Linked DNA regions of Lonchura striata. The protein of the gene in region 1 interacts with the protein of each later gene in a biochemical or structural test. Links are inferred from orthologs where the notes say so. Each region holds a gene or a part of one and is shown on either strand. Other genes may lie near its edges. The genes, in order: SLX4 and EME1.

Region 1 (7,122 bases):
AATTCTGTCTAGAATGTGATAGATTTTTTAGTGACTGTGAAATGCTTTGCCATATGAACAGGGTGCTGGCAGGGGGAGGTGTAGCCCTGAACAGAAATGTGAGGACTGATGGGACATCAGATATGGAAGTGGGTGGTGCCAGATGGACACTGATGCTGATCCCTGCTAAGATTGCTCCTTGGAATCTCAGTATGATTTTCCTACCTAGCATTCCCTTGTTTATAGAGATTTGAATTAATTTCTCATTTCCTATTTTCCTCATCTGGTTTTGTTACCCTTTTCTGGCACAGGGAAGCTGGCATAGACCAGGACAAGAGAGTCGTACCTACTTTGGATTTGTGTTTTGCACTTACATTTGTTCTCACAGAACAAGCCTTGTTGTCCTCAGTGTTAAATTTTTTGTGCTTTTGCAACCACAGAGACCCTGCACTGTACAGATGTAGTGTCATGTCTTTATAAAGTAGTGATAAAGGTGTTGGTTAGTGCAGAGATCAGGCTCTAATGAAGAATCCATAAAAGGCTGGAGGATAATGTGCTTTTTCAGAAGTCACACCATTGACATGTAGGTTCTTCTCCATCAGGAACCAGTAGGGAGATTTTTTGTTACAAGATTTGGTTTGGAGGAATCCCTAGAGACCTCCTTCCAGTGTAGCTGCCAGGAAAAACACTACAGAAGTTCTTCCCTTTCGCAGTATTTGGTCTGACTTGACTGGAAATTTTATCACTAACCCTCAGATCTTTGGCTGCAGCTTCCACAAAAGGAGGAGAAGGTGATGAAACTTCCAGTGCCAAGCCAAGTGGTGCATCCCATCATCCTGCTGCTGCCAGCACTCTGTAATTAGTAGCCCAGGGTCATCCAGGTCCTGGCAATTAGTTGATTCCTGAAGCCTGAGGTGAAGCTGGAGGGAGGGGTGGGGTACAAAGGTGGCTTCCTTTGCACTCACTCCAGCAGCTCCATGTCCTTCCTGTGCTGGGGACCCCAGATAATAATTCAGGTTTTGTTGTTGCCTTGCTTTCTAATGTTAATTAATCCCATTTCCCTTAGCATTTCCTGTGGAATACAAGAGATTGCTTCGAAGGTGTTTTCCTGGTTTTGGAAGTATAAAGTGAATTTTTCTTTCAAGATGAGGAATTGAGGAGGAGATGTCCTGAAGCACCACTGTGGTGCTCAGGAGGGGAGAAGGTATCTGCTGTGTGCAACTTGTGGAGGCCTGCTAGCACTGATGGGCTGTTGTAGCCACGGTGATGACATATTCTTGGAGGCTGAAATGGCAGGAGAATTGTTCCTGGAGCAGACAGAGTGTAAAGCAGCAAGTGAGCAGGCCCAAATGTTGTGTGTTTGAGAGCATGTAAGTCAGATAGCTGGTGGAAAAATGTTTTCAGGGGTTAAAAGAGAGGCTGCTCTGAAAAGTGGGAGAGCAACAGCTGTTTTAGCTGTTTGGGGTTTTTTAAGGGATTTATTATTTAACTAAGTAATTACAAGGCAGTAAATTGAAGGCACGTAGTAGGTACATACTTTTAAATCATAGAATTACGGGATAATCTGAGTTGGAAGGGACTTTAAAGATCATCCAGTTCCTGCTCTGGACAGGAGCACCTTCCACTATTCCACGTTGCTCCAAGCCCTGTCCAGCCTGGCCTGGAACACTTCTAGGGATGGGGTAACCTATGCCAGGGCCTCAGCACCCTCACAGGGAAGATTTTCTTCCCCATATTCCATATAATCCTACTCCCTGGCAGTGGGAAGCCATTGCCCCTTGTCCTGTCACTCCAGGCCCTTGTCCAAACTCCCTCTCCATCTTTTTTTGTAGGCTCCCATCAGGTACCTATTGAAAGGGTGCAAAGGATCATCGAGAGCAGTAATTTCAAAATACATTAAATCCATCCTTTTCCCTCCATTTTCTAGGTTCTGTCTTTCATTCTTACTGGTCCTGCTTTGTACCATTTTGCTGATCCATGTTTACTTGAAGGGCACAGCTGGGCTGTAGATTTGGCATCTCAGTGAGCAGGTAAGTGCTGCTGATTATTTTGTGATTTGTTGAGTCCTAAAATCTTCCAAAATTAATTGAACATTATAGTGAAAGAAATTACTTTCAAAACTGTTACTTTTTGAGCTCAATAAACTGGTGCCAAAGCTGGTTGTTAGGGGCAGCAGTAGCAGCAGCTTCAGAAATATTGAGATGTTGAACAGAGCAGGAATCTGTAAATGCAGGTCTGGAAAGGGAGGAGTAATACAGATAAAGTCTTAGTTTTGCATCATAGGTGTTTCTGATCTGATCTGCCTGGGACACTGAATATTGATAGCCAAATATGCTGCTCTGTTTCAAAGTTTAATATCAGGAACTCACCATAAATAATCTGGCAGTACAGATGTGTCTGAGGTATTTAAAGCGGTGTAGGATGTGAGATTTGGGACTTCTTGACATGCTGTCTCCTCCTTAGAAGAAAATGGTCAATTTACAGTTGTAACTACCCCAGAGTTCTGTCCAGAAGAAGTAAATTTATGAACCAGCTACATGAAACTTTTGTTTCCCTCTAACAGAAAATTACTCCAAGATTCACAGCAAAATCCTCTGCAGGTCTGGGAGCCTGAGTTTAAAATAAATAAATCCATTAGCGTCTGTAATTGCTTATAGAAAAGGCTGATCCATGGAAGTGTGTAACCAGCATTCCTCAGCCTCTCATGTCTGCAGCCAAGCCATTTGAGAAAACAGTCCCCCATGTGTTTTTCCTGCTTTTTGAGTCTTTCTCTGCCCAGAGCTTTACCGGAGTAACTGGACCACAGCTGCTGCCATTCCAAGTGAAACATTCTGGTTTAGGTTTGAAAGAAGTAGGTTTTGGGAGCAATAAAAACTCCTGGTAAAATAGCCAGAACCATCATGAACTCAGGACTACGAAGAAGGGGACAATGAAAACATGTGTAAGAATAGAGCTCTAGTCTTAATGTTGCCTGGGAGTTGATGGCATTTCCATCTGGACACTGTACCCAGTGCTGTTCCAGGTAATCCCTGTCTAATACATATGTGACAGCAGTTTGGGAAACAGAATCAGTGCTGTGGTTTATTGAGTACTCAGGGGAAGAATTGAGCAGGAGCAGGAGAGCTAATCCTGAGTGAGCAATAGTGGAAGTAAGAGGAGAGAAAAGGTGAACATATTTAATGGAATTGTTCTCTGACTTGTCCTAAAACCCCTTCTGAAGTACCAGAAACTCCATTTATTTACTTTTCCAAATGAGGCTGGGATCTCTTCTGTGAAACTGTAGTGTCTCAAAGCAGAGTTTAATACTCCAGAATCACTGCATGAGCTGAAGGATGGAGTTTTTTCCTGCTGCATTCACTGATTTTGTGCTATATAAATATAAGTAGGAATGTGTATAACAGAAGGACTGTCTGAATCCAGAGCTCTAAGAAAAAACCTAACCATATCAGATACGTGTTTTAATATCTCTCCTCTCCTTTGCTAATGTGGCTTGGGCATGTCTGTAGTACAATTATAGGGACACTGTTTGGGGTCAATATGTGCTGTTTCTAATCTTAGTATTTCATGCAAATCCTCTTCTCCTTCAGCAGTTTACACCTTGTCCCATAGTGCATCTGCCTGTACCATCTTGTGTGACTACCTGCCTTTGTTTCTTTGTTTAAGGGCTTTCATAAGTTTATTTCTGAAGCTCTGTAGCTTACCATGATGATCCTACGTGTGCTCTCACAAACTGAGGTGCCTAACCTGTGGTCCAGAGTCTTCTGAAGAACCAGCTTGTGAAAGCAGACGAGGTTCTTGGAGAGAAAGCATGCTCTACTGAATGTGAATTAAGCGTGGAAGAATGAACTACTGGAAGTGCCCACTCTGTCTGATGATCTTATTGGAGTCTGGAGAATGGACATCTCTGAGGTGCTGGAAGGGCTGATACAAATCTGAACTGATTCTGGTGCTTCCCCCTGCCCTCCAGTCCTCACAGTGTTACTGGAAAGCCAATGGATGAACAGGACAATGATTTTAAAGAGTTGTGGGCAAATATTTTGAGTAGGGCAAAGAAAAAGGCTGGGGATGCTGGGGCAACAAAGAGGGTTCAGAACAGGCCAAAGAGCACCACAACACAAAACAGATTAAGAAGAGGCAAAGCTGCTGCTAAGAGCCAAACCCATCATCACTTACCAGCAGTGAAGGAGACAAATTTACTTCAAAATTTGGGTCCAGAGGAGCAAGCATTGGTGCACGAAGAAGATGGTGATGCTGCAGCCTGTAGTGGTGAGACTGCAGAGGGGAATGGAGCAAGAAGCCCTCTCCCTGCCAGCCAGCCAAGCACAGGGACCACTGAGTGTAGCCAGAGGCCTCTGACAGGTAAGTGACCTGAAACAGTTCACACAGGAGATAGACAAGGACTGGAAGGACTCTGTATCTCAGTGAAGGTTTTGAGAAGTCCACCCAGAGGGGACACAGTAGCACTGTTGAAAGCAGGCTTATGCCTTACATGGGTTTAACCTGGGAGTGTGTTCTGTGCTGCAGGCAGATGTCCTTCAGTAAGGTGAAGCCTTGGTACAAAGTGATTTGCTGGCCAGTCATTATACACTGTTTTTTGCAGTGTCAGAACTGAGAAAAGTACTCTCAGATCATCTAGAAGCAAGCTCAGAGCATATTGTGGTGCTTTTTCACTCAATGCTTCAATGTATGGTGACATATTGTTTTCAATGTATGGTGACTGGATGTTTTCAAGGGCAAAAACATGAATGAGTTAAGAAGGGTGTTGGATTAATTAGTAAAGGATTAGTTCTTCATTAGCTGTTAAACATGATGGCCAGAATGCAGTCACCAATGATGGAAGTCCTTAAACTGATAAAATAGGTCAGTCAGGAATAGGACATTCTGTAGTGGGAATGCTGGGAGAGCAGGGCTGTGGGACTGCCTTCCATGTCCCTGCTGGAGACCTTCCTGCAAGGGCTTTCTTTATATTACTGCCTATAAAAGGGATACAGAAGTCTCTAAATGCCCCTGTAGCACAGAACCCCAGTGTTGTTACTGTGGCTACACAAATTGTTCCCTTCTCCAAGAATGGCTGTTGTAGAACTGAGCCTGGCCCAGGCTGCTCTCAGGGAGGGGCCTTCCAGCTGCTCTCAGTGTGTGTTTAAAACTGCCTGGTAAAACTGGTGTTTTCTTCCCCTCTAGTAAATCCAGAAAGCGGCTGTTCCCAGACTACCCTGCCCTTCCTTCCTGCTACTCCTCCAGGAACCTGCTCCTCACCCACCCCCAAGGTGCGGGTGGCAGAGCTGGTGGTGGAGAGAATGCAGCAGTTCAAGAGGGTGGCACCTGAACAGCTGAAACACAGCTCGGATGGGAGCATGCCAAAGGCTGCAGCCAGCAGGGATTTCCCTGCCAGGAGCCAGGAGCAGAACCCTCCTGAGGATGGTACGTGTCTCCTCTTGGCTCTGGTGTTTGCAGAATGAGTGGCTGGTGAGAATGGTTGCCTGAGGAGCAGTCCTGGATCCCAGGGCTTTGTTCCTGGCTAGCCTAGTGGCTTGCTGTGCAAATCACTCCAGATCCCTGAGAAAACTTCATTAAAGGATTATCCATACCTTTTTCCCAGCTCTTCTCTAAGGCTGAATTAATCTCATGTAAATTCTAGAGGAATAATTGTCTCTTTGGAAACAGACTGAAATTCTAACAGGACCGGTGAACTTGGTCATCCTTCCCTTGGGACAGTGTTAAGCAGCTCTTAGGTAGCCCCATCTTTGGTACCTCTCCAGGCACTATCTAAGGTGATACGTTCTGTGTTGATAAACTGAAATCACAGCAAATTTACTCTGGTTGATTCTTTATAGATCAAGTCCCTGTTGGTTCTGTATGGGCATGAAAGTCTGCTGTGTTGTACATTTGATGTATAAAATTCCATAATTTCCCCAGAAACTTCAGCCAAAACTGTCCCTTCATTGTGTCTGACATGTGATGTGCTGTGAGCAAATTGTCACCTCTTGCTCCTGTTGGAAAAGAGCAGGTTGTACCTTTCCTGGTGGAGATCAGGTGTGTAGATGCAAGAGGAAGATTGCAATGAATTTTTGTGTGTCTAATTTAAAAAGCTAATAATGACTAGTGTACCAGTTTCTCACCTTCCACACAGGATTTAGTTTTCCATTTTACATCATCCCTGCCTTCTTTGCCAGATACCCACCATCCCCCATCCGTGGAACACGACAGTGCTCTGGCTTTGGCTCTTCAGCAGGAATCCAAGGAGGAAGCCCTGGCAAGCCTGGAGGATGCAGGCTTGTTCTTCTGTCAGATCTGCCAGAAGGATCTCACAGCCATGAACACCCTGCGGCGAGAGCAGCATGTCAACAGGTCAAACACCAGCAGGACCTATCCTTTCCATCCAGCCCCACAGACTCCTCACTCAGCCCAGCCATGGAAGAACAGGAGCAGGGATTCTGCAAAGGGGTCTTTGCCTTTGTGGCTTGAATTAGCGAGTCAGTTTGGTGTGAAAGCAGAGGCTGATTGCCTTGCCCTGCAGGATTTCTGCATTGGTGTGGCCAGGCCAAATCTGCTTTCATTAGCAGGTTGGCAGAGAAGCTGCCATTGTAAAGGAACTTGGTGGTCTTAAAGCTCTTTTCCAACCTTAATGATTTCCTTAGTGATGACTCCCTAATGCCAGTTTTGAGATCTACTGATTTCAGCCAACAAAGTTGTTTGCTCTGTTTTGCTAAAATTCATCTAAGGACATCTGGTATGTCACTGTATCTGAGCTGTTTGCTGAGGGAAATGTGATGTTACTCAGAGAGATGACTCATTTGAAATTACTGCCCTTCATTGAACAATTTCCTAAGTGATAAAAATCAAACACAATTTATTATGGACAGACAACTCTCTGGAAATCGAATCTGTGCTTTTCTGTTGACAAAGGATCAGAAACAACACATTTGAATGATTGTAAATTCTTAGTTCAAGCACTTCCAGAAAGCAGGAGTGATGTAAATTATCCAGTCCTACATCAGGCTACTGACTGTCTCCCACTGATCAGGCTTGTTTGCACCTGCAGCTTTCTAGGTGGTACTGTTGTTTCTGTTTTCAGACAATTTGTGCTGCTTGAAAAAGCTATAAAACAGCGACACTGCTAGGTGTGTTTTTTGGAAAGTCAGG
Region 2 (7,715 bases), on another chromosome or scaffold:
TCACCTGTTTCTTAGGTTATCAAGTGTTTTACTGTATCTGTATTGCCTGCCAGGTGGAAATCCTCACCTCTGAGTGACAGAAGGGATGTGCTTTGGAGCACTGCTGTGTGCTCTAGCACCAAGGGCCTCTGTGACTGACAGTGGTTCTGTACAGAGCCCACACATGGATCTGGAGAGGCTCCAGGGGTTATACCCAAATACGGACCACCAAGATGAACCACAGGACTGGATTTGCAGGCTGGGAAAGGACAGATGCATGGACTGAACAGCTGGAGGTCTACAGGAAGACTGTGAAACACAGGTGGGCATGTGTGGCTGACCCAGTTCACTCGGTCTTCTGCAGAGCAGAAGAATTGTCCAAATAATGTCAACACCAGTGTCCTTACACTACTAATTTTGATAACCTGTTTTCTACTGCAGTCAATGTTTCAAATTGTTTACAAACCTGTAGATAAAATGAGATCAGTTTGGGCACAATACATTGAGGCTCCTTTATTTTGAGCAATACAAGCTCAAAAATGTCACATAATGAATCAAAGATAAAAGGATGAGTATCCTGGATAATGCTTTATCACACACCTCCAGCTGCTGAGGCTTCAAATAGTAGCCCAAATTTGGGCATCTTGCCAGGCTCCCTGAACTCAGTAATGAGTTAGAGTTATGCCGTGAATTTGCCTCGCATGGCCAGTGAATGGAACACTCAGATATTTAAGTTAATCATTGAGGTGAGTGAGTTAGAGGGAAAAATCAAGCTTCTGGGTACACATAGGTGCATGTGGAAAAGGATCTGTTCTGCAGTATTGTGAATTAAGGTACAAATAGAACAGTAATTACTAAAAATGAGCAAAACCAGAGGGAATTATTAGCAGGACAAGTACTGACACAAGAGTGATTGTAGAGGGAATTCATCCAATGGCACAACAGACCAGGCTCTCCAGATACTACACGACCATGGTAACACATTCCATGAGTAGACAAGACCTTCAGTTGCCCCACAGCATTTATTAAACACTCTTAAAAATGCCAGCAGGTGATCTCAGTGCCTGAACACAGATCACAAGCACTTCAGGAACAAAACCAAGTCCTAAAACAGTATCTTCAGAGCCAGTCTTGTCCTCAGATGCCAGTATAGCTGTAGTGGTCTGTCCTTTCCATCTGTGCCCACATGACACAGCAGGTTCACAGCATGGTGACAAGTCTGAAGCTTCCTACCTCTGTGGTAGGGACAACACTGATAAAAGTTTTATAAAGGACTGCTCCTTTGGGCAGCTGGCAGATCACATCCCTGCTCTCACTGCTGCGGGGTGGGGGCACATAGACCTCTTTGGTGTATCTCACAGTCCCATCCTCCAGGGCATAGAGTGTCTTGTTTCGACCCATCCCCACCTGGGAGAGGATGAGGAACATTAGAAAGGAGAGGCTGGAAATCCACAACTAAAGCAGATCTGATTATTGGTCTGCCTTGTTTGATATCCTGGCTTCAACAGCATCTGTTGCTTTTATTTTTTAAAATAAAACCACACAACTTGCTTCCAGCAACCAGTTTGCAATGGTACTCAGTATGAGACATGAGACACCATGCCACCTTGAAGCACAAGTGCCCAGTCAGGTCACAGAAGTGTATTGGGGTATTAATTACTTGCAGACCTTCCCTGAGTGCCACGAGCACAGGTGAGGCTCTGAGCAGGCTCTATGACTAATACCACAGAAGACATGGATGAGCATTAAGAATGAGACTGAAAGAGAGGAGGCAGTGAGTGTGGGACTCTGGGGGGGACTGCTGTTCTCTGAGAACCAAAGAGAGAGAAAAAGCCTTACGTGAGCGCCGGGATGCCAGCGGATCAACCGCTGCGTAGCCAAAATGTTTCCTGCATGGACAAATGCACCTGCAACAGAGTGACACTGTCAGACTGCAGACCAAGAGCCTCCAGAGCCCTGGAACAACACAAATTATTCCAGGACTTACAAATCCCAGCCTTCTGTAGGCATTTTCTAAGGAAAAATTACTTCAAATGTTAAAAGCATCTGAACAAAAATGCTGTTAGCAGGAAATAAATGGACAATGGATAGACCATGGCAAAAAGTCAAATTTCTGAAAAGACTGCTTCTAGGGTACAAGGCATTTTCTGGCTGCTGAAGGCATTTGTTTAATTACATTTACATTGATATGTTTCCATCAGAAAAGCTAGTAATTATTAAGCACTCAACTGCAAGAATCTGCACTTTGACTTCTGCTAAGCTTTCTAATTCTCTCCTTTGTAAACAATGGAAATGCTCGGTTTTTCCACCCAGTGTGGGGGGAAAGTGCAGCGCAGTTATGAGGTGTCCCACAGAGTTCCCTCCTCCTGGGCCCTCCGGAGAGACAAAGTTAGAACCAAAGTACATTTTCTGTGGGCAATTTTGGCTGGCAGCCGGCGGGCTCATGGTGGGGAGGGGGAGCTGACTCAGCCTGCCCTCCCACCAGCAACCCTTGATCGTGAGGTTTCACTGATCCTCCCCTTCTTTCTCCCGGAAAAGTGCCCTGCCTACCTCCTGCTGAGACACTCAGCAACTGACATACATCAGGGGAGAGAAGCTGGGAACAGCCCAATGAAATGCAAATACGATACTCAGACCTACCTTCGGTTTTTTTGAACCCATAGCGTTTCCCCGGGCTGCGGCCTCCTAGGTTTTTAGAGCTGCCCCCACTTTTCTTAGAAGCCCATCTGACAGCAACCAGGCTTGTATGACGAGTGGTTAGAACTAGGTTAGGAGAAAGAACAACACCATCAGCTAAAAAAACTATCATACATAATTCCTTCTGTCAGATTTAAAGGCTATCAGTTAAGACAGGCTATAAAATTAAAGGCAAAGGAAAGAAACAAAAAGATAAATTAGACCAAAATGGCCTAAATTCCTTGAAAAAAGGCCACATCTCAAGTGCTGCTGCTGCTGCCCAGGTAAGAATAAAACTCTCAGCAACCATGTTAAATGATGTGTACAAATTCCTCTTTCATTCTTGTAAAATGCAGCACAGATGTCACTGGTTGCTGTGAATTGCTCTTACAGTGCTTTGAGAAAAGATGGTTTGTGAGTTCAGTTTCCCCTTTGACCAAATGGCATTTACTTACACAGTTACATCCTGAAATCTTACAAATGAGCAGATTACAATTCTGGAAAATATATATGTAAAATGCAGCACAGATGTCACTGGTTGCTGTGAATTGCTCTTACAGTGCTTTGAGAAAAGATGGTTTGTGAGTTCAGTTTCCCCTTTGACCAAATGGCATTTACTTACACAGTTACATCCTGAAATCTTACAAATGAGCAGATTACAATTCTGGAAAATATATAAACATCTATGACCAGCCAGAAACAATCTGAGGAGTATCCAGAAGGAGCATAAAGGTTGGACTTGCTGATACTGGAGGACTTTTCCAACCTTAATGATTCTGTAATTCTATGATTAAAGGATCTAAGAAGGAATATAGAGCCCTGGGAGTGGCAAAAAGGGAGTCTGGAGCACAGTTTTTTCCATTAATCATCCCAGTTTAAGGGAAGTGTTTTAAGGCCAGGTTGAATCTGGGCTTGGAACAACCTGGTCTAGTGAAAGGTGTCCCTTCCCATGGCAAGGGGTAAGAACTGGGTGATCTTTAAGTTCCCTCCCAACCCAAGTCATCATTATCTTAAAAATCTCTACAGTACCACCTCTCATGCAGTTAGGAGACAAACCTAATTTTTCTGAATCCTATTACTTAGCCCGCTAAGCAGCAGGTTAGTGCAGAAGAGTGGTTGTTTCCTTAGCCTGAGCAAAACCACTAATTTAATTTAATTAAATCACGACGGATGCACATTGAGCTGGAAATGTCCCATCACTGGAGGTGTTCCCGCACAGGCTGGATGGGGCCTGGTCTAATGGAAACGTCCCAGCCCATGGCAGGAAATTGGAGCAAGATGACCTTTAAGGTTCCTTCCAACCCAAGCCTGTCCATAATTCTAAGAAATACTGTTGGGGAAAGGGTACAAAACCCCTTTAACTTCAGGATACGGCCCATTAGGCAAATTAAAGCCTGCGAGACTTGACGATTAACAGGAAATTAGAAAAAGACGAAGTATAGTTAGTTTCACATACACAAACCCGCCCATCACCACAGCTCCGCCTCAGCTCCAGGCCAAAGCGAAAGCCTGGGTGGTGACGCCCCACTGGGGGCGCGACATCCCGCGGGGTGAGCCCCCTGGGGCGGGGTGAGCCCCCTGGGGCGCCGTGTCCCCGGCTCATCCCTCCCGCCGCTGCCCAGCGCTCGGAGGGCGCCGAGCCCCCACAGCTCCGGACTCACGCAGCCGCGCCAGCGCCGCCATCTTGTCCGCTCCGCTGCCCCCGCCTCTCCCCCGCTGCGCGGCGATTGGTCCGAGCGCGCGCGGCCGCCAGCGCTCGGGCCAATCACCGCCCGCTGCGCGCGCCTCCGGCCCAACCAGCGGCCGGCGCGGGCTTTGCCCTCAGGCGGGCGCGGGGCCCCCGAAGGGACGGGGGAGATGGCGGAGAGCGAGTCCGGGACTGAGAGCAGCGACGAGGAGCGCCTGCCCTCCTTCGCCTACCTGCTGCAGCCGTCCCCATGCCTCGGCGAGCCCAGCCGCCCGCGGTCGCCATCTCCTGATCCTGAAGCGGAAGAGGTTGTCAAGATAGTGAGCAGCGAGGGCGAAGAGGTGGATGAGGAGGCGATGGAAGTAGTCCCTTTGCATGAGACGGTCGAGATGATGGTGAAGGCAGGGCCTGACCCTTTCAACCTGGGCGCTGGTGATAAAGAAGAGGCATCTGGGGTTTTTTGTGCCAGTGATCACCTGGTGGCTCCTGGGAGCGGAGAGCTTTGGGAAGACGTGACGCCGTCTGAAGAAATAGCTTGTGATAGTGAGAATGGTACACGCGGTGTTGCGGGATCCTCCCTGTGCTCCTTGCCAGTCGACTCTGACAGGCCTAGTAGCTCCCCGGCCAGCAGAGAAAGGCCAGAAACATCGCTGCCTCTCAAAAAGCGACAATATAGTCAGAAGGAACGGGAGGCAATCTGCCAGAATGCGTGGCAGAGAAGGAAGGAGCAAGAAGCAAAGAAAGGGAAGCAGGAAGAGGAAAAAGAGAGGAAGAGAGTCATTGCCAAGATGCTGAAAGCTCAGCGGCCAGGAGAGTGCCAGAAATACATAACAGTGGTGCTAGATCCAGGTAGTTGTCCTCGCAGCCTGCAGCTGCCTTGTACTGACTGTTGTCTCCTCTCTCTGGGGGCCTGACCCGTGCATCGATTTCAGTCATCTTACAGGTAGAAGGTGGCGAGCAGATCCTTAGTGCTTTGCAAGCTGCCAGTTATTCCTGTGTGTTTGAGAACCACGCTGTTCCCTGCAGCATCACCTGGAGGAGAAAGACAGTGACATCACAGGTATGTGAGCAAAATTTTGATAATCTTGTCCTTTTCCTCATGTGTTATTTGCAGTCGTTAGTAATTTTATTTAGCAACTCAAGTGAGCACCCTCTAATCTCCCTGCTCAGAGGTTTGAGTGGGAGTCTGAGAGAATTCTAAACAGACTGTGGCCTGTTTGTTTTCATATCTGAACAGATGGGAGGAGGAGATGAATGGACAGAAGAACCAAATGTTCTGGTTCTGCTTGGCTTGGAGGAGTTTTTGTCCATGGTTCACAACTACAAGCAAGTGAGAATGCTTATGACTCTTTTGCTCCTGAAAATGCCTTGATGTAAAACGGGTGTTTTAGCATCCCTCTTAGTGGCAGGAAGGTTTTGGTGTGGGAGGAATGCAGGGTTTCACTGAAACAGAAATCTGGGTGTAGAAGCCACTAATGGGCTGTATAATGTAAAGTTCTGACAAGCTGTCTTTGCTAGTTAAAATTTTTCACACATTCCTCTGAAGAGTTATATCAAGTGGGTTTAACTTTTTCTCCTTCTTTCTGCTCTAACCTTACATGGGATCAAGTATTGCCTGCTTGCCTTGAAGAGCAAGGGTGAACTTGAAGTCTCTGCAGACCTACAACCAGGGCCATAATTTGCTGTGCTTCTCTGTATACCTAAAAATGGTTTAACTCCTTATTTTTCCAACTCATCTTTGTAGAATGCTGATGGCTGTGCAGAAAGGCAGAAGGAGACCCTGCAGAGCTATGTAGCTCATATTATGGAGAAAATGCCTGGGAGAATTCTGGCTCTGGCAGTAGTTGGAGTAGAAAATTATTTCAGGTCAGACTTCTTCCTTCCAAATGTTTCTGTGTTTTCTCTGGCCTTGAAAAATTCCATAGGTGTTTATGTTAATTCTTTCTAGCAAAGACTGGAGTCTAAGAGGTATTCCCAGAACTGTTCCACCAATTTTAATACAGAAACAGAAACAAAGGTCCATCCAGACTGTCACCCCAGTCTTACTTTACTCTTTTTAGGTCTCTCCAAGTTCAGCCAAAACAAAGGCTGCGACAGGCAGCAGCAAGTGGGAATCAAGAGAAACGTGGAGAAAGGAGAAAAAAACAGGTTAAGGATTGTGGCCTGGACTTATCCAGAATGGATGTGAAAGAAGTGAGTGGTTTTAAAACACATGCAGCCATCATCTCTTGTCTCCCAGTATTTGAACAATTGACCCAGTCACACAGTTTTGTGGGTGGGAGTCTGGCTTTCATTATTCATTAGGCCATCAGTCTGTGGGCAGAGCTCTGGGGTCAGTTCCCTACTGCTCAGTCACATTGCTGTTCCCACACAGACTCCTGTGTCGCATTCACCTGGATACTGATGTCAGTCTCAGCACCTCTTGCCCTTCATGGCCCTTTGGCAAAGCCCACTGGTGGTGGCCTGTTCATAACAAGAGCCACAGAGGAGCTGAGGCAGCTCAGAGGACACTGAGGTGATATTAACTGTCAGGAGACAGCCTGCCCCTAAATACATCAGTGTCTTAAGTTAACTGTTCCCAAAATGGAGAGAGAGTGAATGTTCTTGTTTTACAGCAGGATGTTTGTGACCCTTTTATGCTCCAGACAAAAATGGAATTTGATGCAACAAGACTGATTGTGCCATTTGTTGTTCCCAATGGTGATACAGGCCCTGGTGGATCTGCAGCTGAGCACACAAGTCCAAGTCAGCATTTTTGAGAGCAGTGAGGAGATTGGGGAGTATGCCACTATGTTCACAAAGGCTGTGGCTGAGGCACCATACAAGTGAGTAAGCAGAGGAGGTTTGGCCCTACCTTTGGAGAGGCTGCACTTTCAGCTACTGGGAAGGGATAGCAGGTACAACACTGGGAATAATGGTTCTCAAAGGTGCAGGTGACAGAACATCTGCTATTGCAGCTCCTTCAACACAGGACTTGTTCTTGAAATGGATGTCCTGCCCACAGAGGGGTCAGGATAGACCCTGGTTTCATAGTCACAGGCTGATTGGGGTTGGAAGAGACCTTAAAGATGATCTAATCCAACCCCCTGCCACAGGCAGGGACACCTTCCACTACACTGGATTGCTGAGCACTCCATCCAGCCTTAACACTTCCAGGGACAGAGTATTCACAACTTCTTTGGGTATCTGCATCTTTGGGCAGTTTGTTCTGGTGCCTCACCACCTTCAGGTTTCACACTGGAGCTTTGACATCAATAAGAGCTCTTGTTCTGGGTCAGATTTTTGGAGTGGGAAGGGAATGCAAGTAGGGTTGGCTATTAGAATGCCAGTTTTTCTTCAGTGTGTAACCAAGAGACCTACCTGAGAATGAACC

Evidence for each region.
Region 2: the proteins of SLX4 (region 1) and EME1 form a complex in vitro, tested with the Homo sapiens proteins (3 studies listed by BioGRID, with this or other methods). The link is inferred for Lonchura striata from reciprocal best matches to the Homo sapiens genes SLX4 and EME1.

What each region holds. Positions count from the first base shown.
Region 1 is NC_134618.1:4,009,686-4,016,807, forward strand, and holds the start of SLX4 (structure-specific endonuclease subunit SLX4), read left to right. Parts: upstream 1-3,922; 5' UTR 3,923-3,971; coding exon 3,972-4,338; intron 4,339-5,160; coding exon 5,161-5,400; intron 5,401-6,152; coding exon 6,153-6,327; intron 6,328-7,122. UniProt on the Homo sapiens protein: Regulatory subunit that interacts with and increases the activity of different structure-specific endonucleases.
Region 2 is NC_134621.1:5,708,565-5,716,279, forward strand, and holds the start of EME1 (structure-specific endonuclease subunit EME1), read left to right. Parts: upstream 1-4,468; 5' UTR 4,469-4,512; coding exon 4,513-5,191; intron 5,192-5,274; coding exon 5,275-5,402; intron 5,403-5,579; coding exon 5,580-5,672; intron 5,673-6,086; coding exon 6,087-6,208; intron 6,209-6,402; coding exon 6,403-6,535; intron 6,536-7,051; coding exon 7,052-7,167; intron 7,168-7,715. Other genes in the region: MRPL27 (large ribosomal subunit protein bL27m), read right to left, coding at 1,180-1,386, 1,819-1,886, 2,620-2,742, 4,317-4,338. UniProt on the Homo sapiens protein: Non-catalytic subunit of the structure-specific, heterodimeric DNA endonuclease MUS81-EME1 which is involved in the maintenance of genome stability. In the complex, EME1 is required for DNA cleavage, participating in DNA recognition and bending.